Struthio camelus: one gene and its partners. The protein of the gene in region 2 purifies or fractionates together with the protein of the main gene of each other region. This does not show direct contact. Links are inferred from orthologs where the notes say so. Each region holds a gene or a part of one and is shown on either strand. Other genes may lie near its edges.

Region 1 (3,746 bases), on a different chromosome or scaffold from region 2:
AAAAAAAACCTTTCTCTCCTCCTACGGAAACAACGCATAAGACCCTGATGAAACAAAATGGGAATAAGACAATTATAAAAAAATTAAAAAACAAAAACAAACCTTGTTTACATAAGAAAGGGCTAACCAGAGATATAACAAACTATCAAAAATTCAAGCAGAATGAGGACAAAGTATTGTCCTTAAGATTGTTTAACCATTAAGATATTTCATACTACAGGGGTGTCCCATTTGAATGGGACAAACAGGGAAGAAGACTCCTTCTAAGCTGGCAACGTGGAAAAGAAGAACAAAGGCAAGATGAAGTATCCAAGAGCAAAGGGCAAAGTGACCTCAGCAAAGGAGAATATGTTTCCAGCAAGATCAAGTGAATCCAAATTCTAACTGCCCTCAGGAAATGCTGCAAATTTTCCTTTTCGTTAAAGCGTTCACATAGCAAAAATTTTTCTCACAACATTCTACCTCTATTTACATCCCCCCTATCTTTGCCAAAAAAATAATGCCTGCAATAATCAAATAAGTACAAAGATAAAATACAAAATAAATAACTTGAAGAGGAGGTTTTTCCTGAAGTGAGAGTAGAATCTGACTCCAAGGAATTCTGATAAAGTTTCATTTTTCAAGGACTTAATTCAAATGCTGCCACACTGTATGTGGTAATAAAACTGAATAGCTAGCAAGATGTGAACACAAGGCAACAGCTGTGATGGCACATTCATTTATTTGGGAGAACATAGGACCTGAAGAAGTAAAATGAAGTATGATTTTTTTTCTCTTTTTTTAAATAATGGAAGACTGACTACCTCAACTTGTGCTTTGATCAAAAGTTACCCGAGACGAGGAAGAGACTGATGAAAAGAACAAATAAGGAAGCAGAAGCCAAACTGAAGAAGATCATCATGGAGGGTAGGGGAGGAGAGGGGAGGTAAGGGCAGGGTCACACAAGAAGCGTTTCTGGCAAGAGAATAACAGACAAGAAGCCCCAGCCTCACTAACAGGAAGAAGATGACATACAAATGCAGATATTTCATGCAAATGCAGATATTCAAGTAAGATGCCACTAGCGGCTCAATTCCCAGTGCAAGTCAGATTTCCTTAGTATCCAAATAACTAATGGAAACCACTTCTACTGTATTCATTCTGGTATAAATTAAAAATTCCAGTGCTCAAGAGGACAGCATGCTCAGCTAGATGTAGAAGAAACACATTCACGTAACTATTTTAGCCACTCTTCTTGATACTGAAGGAAGTTTGCTGGTGTGCAAATGCAGTAGAAAACAGAATGCCTTTTCCTGGGAAAAGGGAAAAGCATTCCACATGCCAACGCCTCCCACTTTGCCTATGCTTCATCCTTTACTATAGCCATCCTAGCTATAGTAATCCTGAGCCAGAACATCTTAATGACTCCACATGTCCACAACAAAACCACTGCCACAAACCTGCACACCAGCTATTTGATTGTCTCTGTACATCTGCCAATCTAGCAACAGACTGCTCCTGCACATTGGCACCAGGTCATCTGTTCACTGTTCTCACAAAAACAAAATGCCACCTAGAAGTCCTTGGCCTTGCAGGTCTCACCATATCCAGGATCTGCAAGTCACCAGCTAGATTCTATGCATCTGGAGTAAGCCTGAATTACAGAGACAATTCTGCAGCCTGCAGTGAGCTCCCCAGATTTCTATGACTGTTGCACAAGAACCTCCACCTGATGTCTTCAAAAAGATGTCACAAGAAGGTGCCAGAATCCTCAAGAGAGAAATCACCCAGGACTATTGGTAACCAAACAATATCTGCATTCTTTTGGACTTTTCAGTAATCTTTTTTTTTTGTTGTTGTTGTTAAATGTATATAAGAAATCCACGTTATAAATGGTGACTGCATTCAACCGTTTGAGAGTCATCTATAAAACACGGTCTCCAATGACAGTAAAACAGGGGTTAGCATTTCCCCTTAAAAGGAGACTGAAGATCCGATTCTTAAACAAAAGCTAGAAAATTTTTAAAGACCTCAAGGATTCCTTTAATTAACCATGGCACCCTGAAATTCTCTTGTGGGTGAGTGCCTATAGACTGTTGTAGATCTGCAGAGCTAATCTCTTCAAGCCCCTGAAAGTCACCTGTTAAGTAGCCAGAGGATACATAAGAGCCAAGTCTGGAGACAAGAACCAGAGGCAGTACCACAAGGCTTCATCAGGCTTTCATCAGAATTGTTTTTCAAAACACAAGTTTGATTACAGAACAAAGTGTCCTACAAGCCCATCTGGGTCAGATCCAGTGCAGATTCTGCACTGTGAACAGGCTCAAAAGAACGCTATTCACTATTCACTATTCATGGAGAATCAAAGCAAAAATCACAGCACACATCCCCCCAGACACAAGCCTGTATTATCAATGAATCAGTACATATTCTGGGGGCTTTGCAGACCCCGGTGCTCTCCTGGCAAGGCAGTTACCAGTGCCCCAAGAGCACGTTTCAGGAGCCAATCCAGCCCAGCACAGAGCCTCCAGTTTCCACTCATCCCTCTATTCAGAGCCAGCCAGCTCACTAACTTTCCCGACTCACCACCCCATGGACCAGAAACTCAAAAAGTTTGCTTTTCGTAGCTTTGCGAGCCCCTCCTGTAACTTCATCTGTAGCCATCAGGGTCTGCTCAGCCTCTCTCACTCTCTCTCTTCCTCTTTCTTTCCCTTTTCTGCCTTTTTCTCCAACTCTCCCCTCTGAGTCCTGCTGGGCTCTCACACTTCTAATAGCGCGGAGTGGGGAGGGGGCCCCTTCAGGGCCTTCCTGACGGCCCACTCGCGCTAAGCCTCAGCTGCTGCATTCCTCCACTGATAAGCCAGAAATAGTTTGTGCTGCCGGGTTCTGTGTGTTTACTCTGCAGGGACAGAAAATCCAGCTTTTTAAACCTCTCTGTCCAAACACCAGAGATAAGCAGGAGGCAAACTGAAAACACGTCTCAGCTTTTTAGTAGCAGCGCTGCAACCTCTCCTCCTCAGCACAAGGGGATGGTAAATTCTGGGGCAAGGGGGAAGGGGGAGGGGGCAACTTCAGCAATGACATAAACTCAGTGCTTCACGGAGAGACTTTTCCCATTAGAAAATGCAGCAGGCAAGCAGTGAGAAACAATGGTTTTCCCTTGCTCCCACTGCTCCTCCTGCACTGCATTTCCAGGCCTTTTCCCCAGAGACCTGGCAGGCAGCACACAGAAACATTCACTGGCAGCGTTTCCAGCACATGAGACTGAGAACTAACCCCTTTGGACGAGAGAGAGAAACAGCAGGAGGCAGAAAGCTGGGAACAGGGAGGGACGTGGTGTGAGAGCGAGGGGAAAGAAAGAGTGCGAGAGCAGCAGAGGAGGGGGCGGGGGGCAGCATGGCGGCGGGGCGCAGCGCCTGCTTCGCTCCTGCCCGCCCGCAGCCTCCCCTCGGCCCGCTCTCGGGCCGCTGCCATACCGCCGTGACGGGGCCATCAGAGAGACCCCAGGTGGCTGACCGACTCCGACACTGCTAACGCCACGGCTGCCATTACGCGTCAGGGCTGGCTGCTGCCGCTCACACAAAGCCCCGCGCACGACAAGGCGCCTGGTCTCGGACCCTGCTGGGGCCGCGGAGCCGCCGCCGCCGCCGCGCCTGGGGGGGTGAAAGCGGGGCGCGTCGGCCCCGGCCCTGCGCTGCCCCGCTGCCGGCTCAGGCCGGGCTTGAGGTGCAGCGGCGGCCATTCCGCGCAGCGGCGCCAGCTCCTCC
Region 2 (3,746 bases):
GTCGAAACGCTGCTCCGAAATGTCTCTTTTTAACGGATTTTGGACGGCCAGGAGAGAAGACGTCGCCGGGTTTATTACAAAAGACCCCGCCGGGAATCGAGGCGTCGGAGCGAAAGCGAGCGTGGAGGCGACGGCTCCCGGGAAACGCCGGAAAAACCCGGCTCAACAGCTGCCAAGTTTTTGAGCGTCGGCCGAGAAGGTTTTCAAGGGGGGGGAAAGAAAAATAAAAAAAAAAAAAAGAGAGAGATTCGGGCCGGAAAAGCTTCGGGTTGAAGCGGGAGGTGGCGGCAGCTCCGGCCGCGTCGTCGCTTCGCTTCGGGGGAAACCGAGAGGGTTTTTTCCGGAGAGGGAAAGAAGGGCGGAAGCTGCACTGAGCAGGGGGCGAAACCTGCTCCTTCCCGTGGGGGGGAAAAAAAAGCGGAAAAAAAAATATATATGTAACTTTAATATATATGTAACCTTGAGGTGACATAGGGCATCTTTTAAGCAGCTTTTTTTTTTTGGGGGGGGGCAGTATAGGGCCTGCCTGGGCCACCCCAGGGGGGTTTAAAACCTCCACCCTCGCAGTGCCGTATAGTGGAGGGCTCTATACCCTTCAAGGGCTCTATATGGCCCCTTTCAGACGGCTATATAGGGGCAGGCCCCCCCCAAGCTTTATAGGCCCCCCCTCCCCTTTATGAAGCCATATAGAGGGAGCCCCAGGCCCAGGGCTCTATAGAGCCCCCCTCACAGGGCCATATAAGGGGACTCCCCCCCACCCTCTATAGGGTCTCTTCACAGCACCATATAGAAATAAGCACTCCTAAAGGGCCCCTCTTAGAGGGCTGTGTGGGGGCAGCGACACCCACCGCCCGGGCTCTATAAGGGTCCCCTCACAGGGCTATACTGGGCAGGACCCTTACTCCTAGGCTCCATAGGCCCCCTCCTAGGGCCATGTAGGATGATACTCCCCCCCACAGCTCTATAGGTCCTCCATTATAGGGGGAGATGGACCCCTAGCCCCTGAGCTCTATAGAACCCCCCCACTGGAGCATACAGGGGGGATCCAGACCCCCACCGCTCTATACGACCCCTCGTAGGGCCATATAGGGGGGATCTCCATTCCCTGGGTCCTACAGGACCGCCTCATAGGACTGTATAGGGAAGGACCCCCACCCCCACTGCTCTATAGGATCACCTCACAGGACCTTATGGGGGGATTGAGATGCCCACGGCACTATATAGCACCTCCTCACAGGACCATATAGGAGGATCCAGACCCTCGCCGCTCTGTAGGACCCTCTTGCAAGACCATATGGGGGGAACCCTACCCCTACAGCTCTATATAGGACCCGCTCACAGAATCCTATAGGGGGATCCAGACCCCCTACTGCTCTGCGGGACTTCCTCATAGCACCATATGGGGGGAATCCCACCCCCATAGCTCTATATAGGACCCCCTCACAGGGCCACGTAGGGGGATCCAGACCCCCACCGCTCTATAGGAACCCCTCACAGGGCCACATAGGGGGATCCAGGCCCCATGGCACTATAGAGGATCCCCTCGCAGCAGCACATAGGGGGATCCAGACCCCCACCGCTCTATAGGACCCCCTCATAGGATCATATAGGGTGATCCAGACCCCCACAGCTCTATAGGACCCCCTCGCAAGACCATATGGGGGGAACCCCACCCCTATAACTCTATATAGGACCCCCTCATAGGGCCATATAGGGGGATCCAGACCCCCACCGCTCTATGGGACCCTCTCACAGGACCTTATGGGGGGAACCCCACCCCCACAGCTCTATATAGGACCACCTCACAGCATCATATAGGGGAATTTAGACCCCCACCGCTCTATAGGACCCCCTCACAGGACCATATAAGGGGATCCAGGCCCCTATGGCACTATAGAGGACCTCCTCGCAGCAGCACGTAGGGGGATCCAGACCCTCACCTTTCTATAGGACCCCCTCATAGGGCCATATAGGGGGATCCAGGCCCCCACAGCTCTATAGAACCCCCTCACAGGACCTTATAGGGGAACCCCACCCCCACCACTCTATAGGACCCCCTCACAGGACCTTATGGGGGATCCAGGCCCCCACGGCACTATAGAGGACCTCCTCACAGCATCATATAGGGGGATCCAAACCCCCACAGCTCTATAGGACCCCCTCGCAAGACCATATGGGAGGAACCTCACCCCCATAACTCTATATAGGACCCCCTCATAGGGCCATATAGGGGGATCCAGACCCCCACCGCTCTATGGGACCCTCTCACAGGACCTTATGGGGGGGACCCCACCCCCACAGCTCTATATAGGACCACCTCACAGCATCATATAGGGGGTTTCAGACCCCCACCGCTCTATAGGACCCCCTCACAGGGCCATATGAGGGGATCCCCCACCCCCACCGCTCTATAGGACCCCCTCACAGGGCCATATAGGTGTTCTCCCCCCACAGGACCCTATGGGGGAACCCAGGGCCCTTCAGCGGAGCCTCCCCCGGCCCCGGGCCCTGCGCGGCGCCCCCCGGCCGCCGACCCCGGCCGCTCTCGCCTTCCGCCACCGAGGAAACTTCGCCCCCAACAACGAGACCGGCCGCCTCGCCCCCCCCCCCGCCGCTTCTGCCCCCCCCCCGGTTCCGGTCACTTGGACTCGCCCGCGGCGAGGGCAGCGCCCCGCGTCCCGCGTCCCGCGCCCCGGCCGGGCCGAACCATTCTGCCCCCCCCCGCGGGGGGGGGGGAAAGGGAGCCACTCACAGCTTGACTACATTCTGTACCACCGCCGCCATCTTCCCTCCGCCGCCTGGGCCCTGCGCCGCCCAGCGCGCATGCGCCGAAGGAGGGGCCGGGCGGGGCGGGGGAGGAGGCGTGAGCACGGGGTGGGGGGGAGCCGCCGCTCGGCGCCTGCGCAGAAAGGCGGGGACGGCGGCCGCGGCCGCGCGGGCATGCGCAGTCTCGCCTCCCCCGCGCCGGCGCATGCGCTGAAGGCAAGGGCTGGCGCGGCTGGTTGCGCTGCTTTGCGCATGCGTCAAGCGCTGGGTGGCAGGGCGGGGCCTTGGCGCATGCGCGGGGGAAAAGGCGGGAAAGGGCTGAGGGGGGAGGCGCGAGGACGAGGAGGGAAAATGGAGGAACGAGGGGGAAAGGCGGGAAGGAGACGGAGGGGTGAGGGGGAAGAGCGAAGCGGGGACGGGGAAGAGCCGAGGGACGGAGCTGGAAAGCGGTAGGGGTGAGGGTGAAGGAAGGGAAGGGCTGATGGAGAGGAGGATGAAGGGTAGCGGGGAGGCAGAGTGAGGGAGGGGGTGGAGGGCTGAGGTAAAATGGAAGAGTCAAAGCCAAGGGTGAGGGAAAACAGGTGTGAATGATAGAAAAGGTGAAGGAAAAAGAAGGGAAAATCAGGTGTGAGTGATGGAAATGGGGGAGGAGAAGAAGGAGCAGGGGCAGCGGGAAGGGATAAAGGCTATTTGGATGGGGTGTAGAGGCCTGGGGAGGATGATGGATACTAGGAGGAAGGATGAAGAGCTGGGGAGGATGAAATGAGGGATAAGAGAGTAATAGGGGTGAGGGAGGGCGCCAGAGAAAGACCACGAGGCAAATGGTGCAGGATGAGGGAGACGAATGAAGGGAAGATGGAAGGATGGAGGTGGAGAGGCATAAAAGGATGGGAGAGTAAAATAAGGGTAGAAAAGAGGAAAAAAAAGAGGTAGGTAAGGGGAAAAGGTGAACGATGAAGCAAGAAGACATATAAGTGATG
Region 3 (3,746 bases), on a different chromosome or scaffold from region 2:
AGGAAAGCATATGTTAGCCTATTTACACGAAATGAGAGCGATGAGTGACTCCCGGCTGCTCGAGCCAGGCACCCGGGCTGGGTTTTGCAACCTACTGCATGGACGGTCAGGGTAAATGAGCAAGATCTCTCCCAGCCCGAGAATCCTTTGAATCAAGTTACAATTGCAACCGTTGGTTAATGCTCAGATTGGCCTTGAATATGCCGTCTCAATTTTCACTTCAGGGCTCTTCCGTGTTTTAAGGCTACTCAGGTTGTTTCCTCATTTTGTATTAATGAAGTTTACAAGTTGGAAGCTCCCTTGGTTTGATTTTTTTTTTCTTAAGTTTTCATTCATGCAAATAATGTGGCAGCTCTGGAGGTGGTGATCAGTAGAGATTGAGAATCTGTTGCACAACTGGGCTCCTCCATTTCCAAAGAGCATCTGGAAGAAATCGCTTTAAATCAGAAGCCTAGCCTCTTCAAAATAATCACCATGTGCACAAGAGCCAGCTCACAGACAAGCCGCGCATGCAGTGAGAAGCGGAAACTTGAGTATCAGTTAAAATATACTCTTCATAAAACATATTCAGGCAGAAAGTAGAACAATTACACTGGCTCTGGCTTCTCCAGGGCTGCTCACTGGTCAGATCTACCTTCAAGGCACTTGCATGTCTCCATTTTTCCCCCTCAAATTAACAAGCACCTGCTCTCCTCTTCCATCACCTCCTTGTCTCTTCAGCTTCCTCTTGCAAATATGCACCTGCTACTTGGTTATGGTTACCCCTAAATTTGCAAAAGGTGCATATAAACATGTTTCAAGGGAGCTCTGCGCAACAAGAAATGGCTGTGAAGCTGGAGTTGGACATATGACTTCTGCTTGGAGTGGCTTGTACCTCCTCTGCTCCAAAATTGTTTCTTCTCAGCCCAGCAGATGAACAGCCAGCGGTCCCTGAGTCTCACCGCAGCGCAGATAGAGTTACGCACCTTGGCTCCTGCTGGGTGTTTACAGCAGACCCGAACTATCACTCTGCTGCTACAACAGACAAGATTTGCACAGCAATGCTGCCAAATATTCAGCTGCTAGCAACTTTTATGGGGATTTTTAAGCAGTTAGAAACCATGAAGAATAAGGAAAGATGGAGCATGCAACCATTCTAAAGGAGCTGGGCCCACTCTAGTGAGCGCAGGGAGATCTACTACCTGCTGAAAAGCAACAGAGTTGCTCCTGCTGGAGCAGCAGAGTTGTGCTAGGAGATGAAAATCTCAGAGCATTTTCTGGAAACTCACGGAGATAGGTTTGGAAGCAGCTGCCTTCATTTCTTTCCAAAATGATTACTATTCGAAAACACGGGTCTTATTGTGCCTCAGTTACCTCATCTGTAACAGCAAAAGACATCGACCCCTCACTGGGCATTTGCTCATAACTACATTTATTTAAAGGGCCTCAAAAAAAAAAAAAACATTAAAAAAAAAAAATCAGGAAACGCAGCCCTAGTGTGCTGGTCACATTTCCTCCGTCCTAACTGCCAAGGCCATATGCAGAGCAGCCACTTTGCCAACTTACTCCTTTCCCCTGGTCAAAAGCGCCCCCGCAAGGGACGGTGCAGCTGAGAAGCTGCTAAAAAGCACATTCAATCCCCGAGCGATTCTCCACTGGGAAAGCAGAGGGGATCTGGAACATATAAGAGCATGGTTGGATTCAAGTACATTCCTGCAGCATGTTTCATTTGTCCCCCACACACACATTCCCCAAAAGACAAGAAAAAAATTAAAAAAAAATAAAAAAAAGGATATTCTTCCTGCCTCTACCGAGCTGCTAACACGGCACCCTCGGAGCTGCCCGATGGACCTCTCCAGACACCACCGCCAAACAAAGCCATCGAATCCCCACGAGCGCAGGCCAGGCCACGCTTTCAAGCGAAAGTTTGCCCTCCGGCCTCTCCCCACGGCCCCTTCGGGGGGTACCAAGCCCTCATGGGGAAATCACAAAGGGACTTTGGCCAAATTCAAGACAGAGAATTTTAGCATAGACCCTGGGTCCCACGAGAGGAGCGGGACGGATGGTAAACGGCACCTAGGTATGTCCTGGGCAGGGATATCCGTCTTCTCCCAGCTTTGGGCAGGACCAGGCTTCTCGTGAGCTGGTCCCAGCAGCGGGCAGGGAAACAGCTCCCCAGCTGCACCCACCGACGAGCAGGACCTCGGCACCGGGGCCGCTGGAGCCCCCAGAAAGGGGAAGAGGACCCGGATCCGGCCTCCCTGGTGCCTGTGCCCAGCAACAAGGGGCCGAAACGGAGATGCTGCGAGGAACAGGGTGGCCCCAAGACACCTTGTCCTGAGTGGGGCTGGGCTAGCACCCACAGGTGCCTGGGAAACTGTCCCCAGTGGGGCCTGGCCAGCACCCACTACTGCCCAAGGAGTCTATCCCCAGTGGGGCCAAGTCAGCACCCACCCAGGGAGCCGTGCGACGTCCAGTGGGGACGTGCCAACATCCACCCGTGCCCGGTACAGGGCCATGTCCCGAGTGGGGACCAGCACCCACCCGTGCCCAGCGAGCCCCACGGCACCACGTCCCGAGCGCGGCCCCGCCAGCACGCACCCGCGCCTGAGGACCCGCCTCGAGGGGAGCCGCGCCAGCGCCCACCACCCGTGTCCTGGGAGCCCCGCGGCGCGGTGTGGCGGCCCGCGCCCGCGCTGCCTCCGCGGCTCCGCCACGCGAGGGGCCGAGGCCTCACCTGGTACTGCGCGGCGGCCGGCCCCATGGGGCGGTAGCCCGGGGCGGCGGCGGCGCCGGCCGGGGCCGGGCTGGGGCCGCGCAGGATTCCGGGCGCGGGCCCCGGGGGCGGCGGGGCGGCAGCGGCGGCGGGGGGGGGCAGCGGGCTGAGCGGGAAGGCGCCGCGGCCGGCCATGGCGGCGGCTGGCGGCCCCCCGCCCGCGCTGTTTACTCGGAAGCGGCGGCAGTCGGCGGCGCCCAGGGTCGGGAGTCACCGCGCGGCGCCGCCGGGCCCCGCCCCCTCGCCGGGCCCCGCCCCCGTCCGCGCCGCTCCGCCCCCCGCCTCCCCGCCGGCGGCGCACGTGGCCGCGGCGCGCCCCCGCCCCCGCGCGCCTGTGTGTGTGTGTGTGTGTGTGTGTGTGTGTGTGTGTGTGTGTGTGTGTGTGTGTGTGTGTGTGTGTGTGTGCGTGTGTGCGTGCGTGTGTGTGCGTGTGCGTGTGCGTGCGCGCGCGCGCGCACATATGCATGTGCATATGTATGTGCGCGTGCGCATATGTGCACACATGTACACATGTGCGCATATGTGTGTTTGTGTGTGTGTGTGAGTTGTATGCATGCGCCTGTGTGTCTCTCTGTGTCCATATGTATGTGCCTGTGTACATATGTGTGTGCACATGTGTGTGCACGTGTGCATGTGTGTGTGCGTGTGTGTGCATGCACATATGTATAGCCATGCATATATGCATTTGTACATGTGTGTGCACATGTGTATGTACATTATGTGTGCATATGTGTGTGTGTATATGTGTACATATGCATGTTTTGTGTGTGCACGTGTGTCTGTGTGCACACATATGTGCACGTGCCCATGTGTGTGCCTGTGTTTGTGTGTGTGCATACGTATGCCTGTGCGTGTGTGCGTGCGTGCTGCCCATGCACCTGGGCGTGCAGGTGTGCGCACATGTGTGTGAAGGCCTGTGTGTTTCCACGTGCAGGTGTGTGTACGTGCGCAGGCACATGGAGGTGCATGCGTTTCCTCAGGCAGGCGTGTG

The links.
Region 1: the proteins of DPF2 (region 2) and SMARCD3 purify together in Homo sapiens (affinity purification with mass spectrometry; 3 studies listed by BioGRID and IntAct, counting the BioPlex papers as one, with this or other methods). This does not show direct contact. The link is inferred for Struthio camelus from reciprocal best matches to the Homo sapiens genes DPF2 and SMARCD3.
Region 3: the proteins of DPF2 (region 2) and SMARCD2 purify together in Homo sapiens (affinity purification with mass spectrometry; 6 studies listed by BioGRID and IntAct, counting the BioPlex papers as one, with this or other methods). This does not show direct contact. The link is inferred for Struthio camelus from reciprocal best matches to the Homo sapiens genes DPF2 and SMARCD2.

Annotation. Positions count from the first base shown.
Region 1 is NC_090943.1:136,459-140,204, forward strand, and holds the start of SMARCD3 (SWI/SNF-related matrix-associated actin-dependent regulator of chromatin subfamily D member 3), read right to left. Parts: upstream 2,876-3,746; 5' UTR 2,644-2,875; coding exon 2,566-2,643; exon of another isoform or gene 2,553-2,565; intron 1-2,552. UniProt on the Homo sapiens protein: Involved in transcriptional activation and repression of select genes by chromatin remodeling (alteration of DNA-nucleosome topology).
Region 2 is NC_090976.1:844,059-847,804, reverse strand, and holds the start of DPF2 (zinc finger protein ubi-d4), read right to left. Parts: upstream 2,839-3,746; 5' UTR 2,785-2,838; coding exon 2,753-2,784; intron 389-2,752; exon of another isoform or gene 1-388. UniProt on the Homo sapiens protein: Plays an active role in transcriptional regulation by binding modified histones H3 and H4. Is a negative regulator of myeloid differentiation of hematopoietic progenitor cells. Might also have a role in the development and maturation of lymphoid cells.
Region 3 is NC_090966.1:2,793,859-2,797,604, forward strand, and holds the start of SMARCD2 (SWI/SNF-related matrix-associated actin-dependent regulator of chromatin subfamily D member 2), read right to left. Parts: upstream 2,906-3,746; 5' UTR 2,891-2,905; coding exon 2,717-2,890; intron 1-2,716. UniProt on the Homo sapiens protein: Involved in transcriptional activation and repression of select genes by chromatin remodeling (alteration of DNA-nucleosome topology).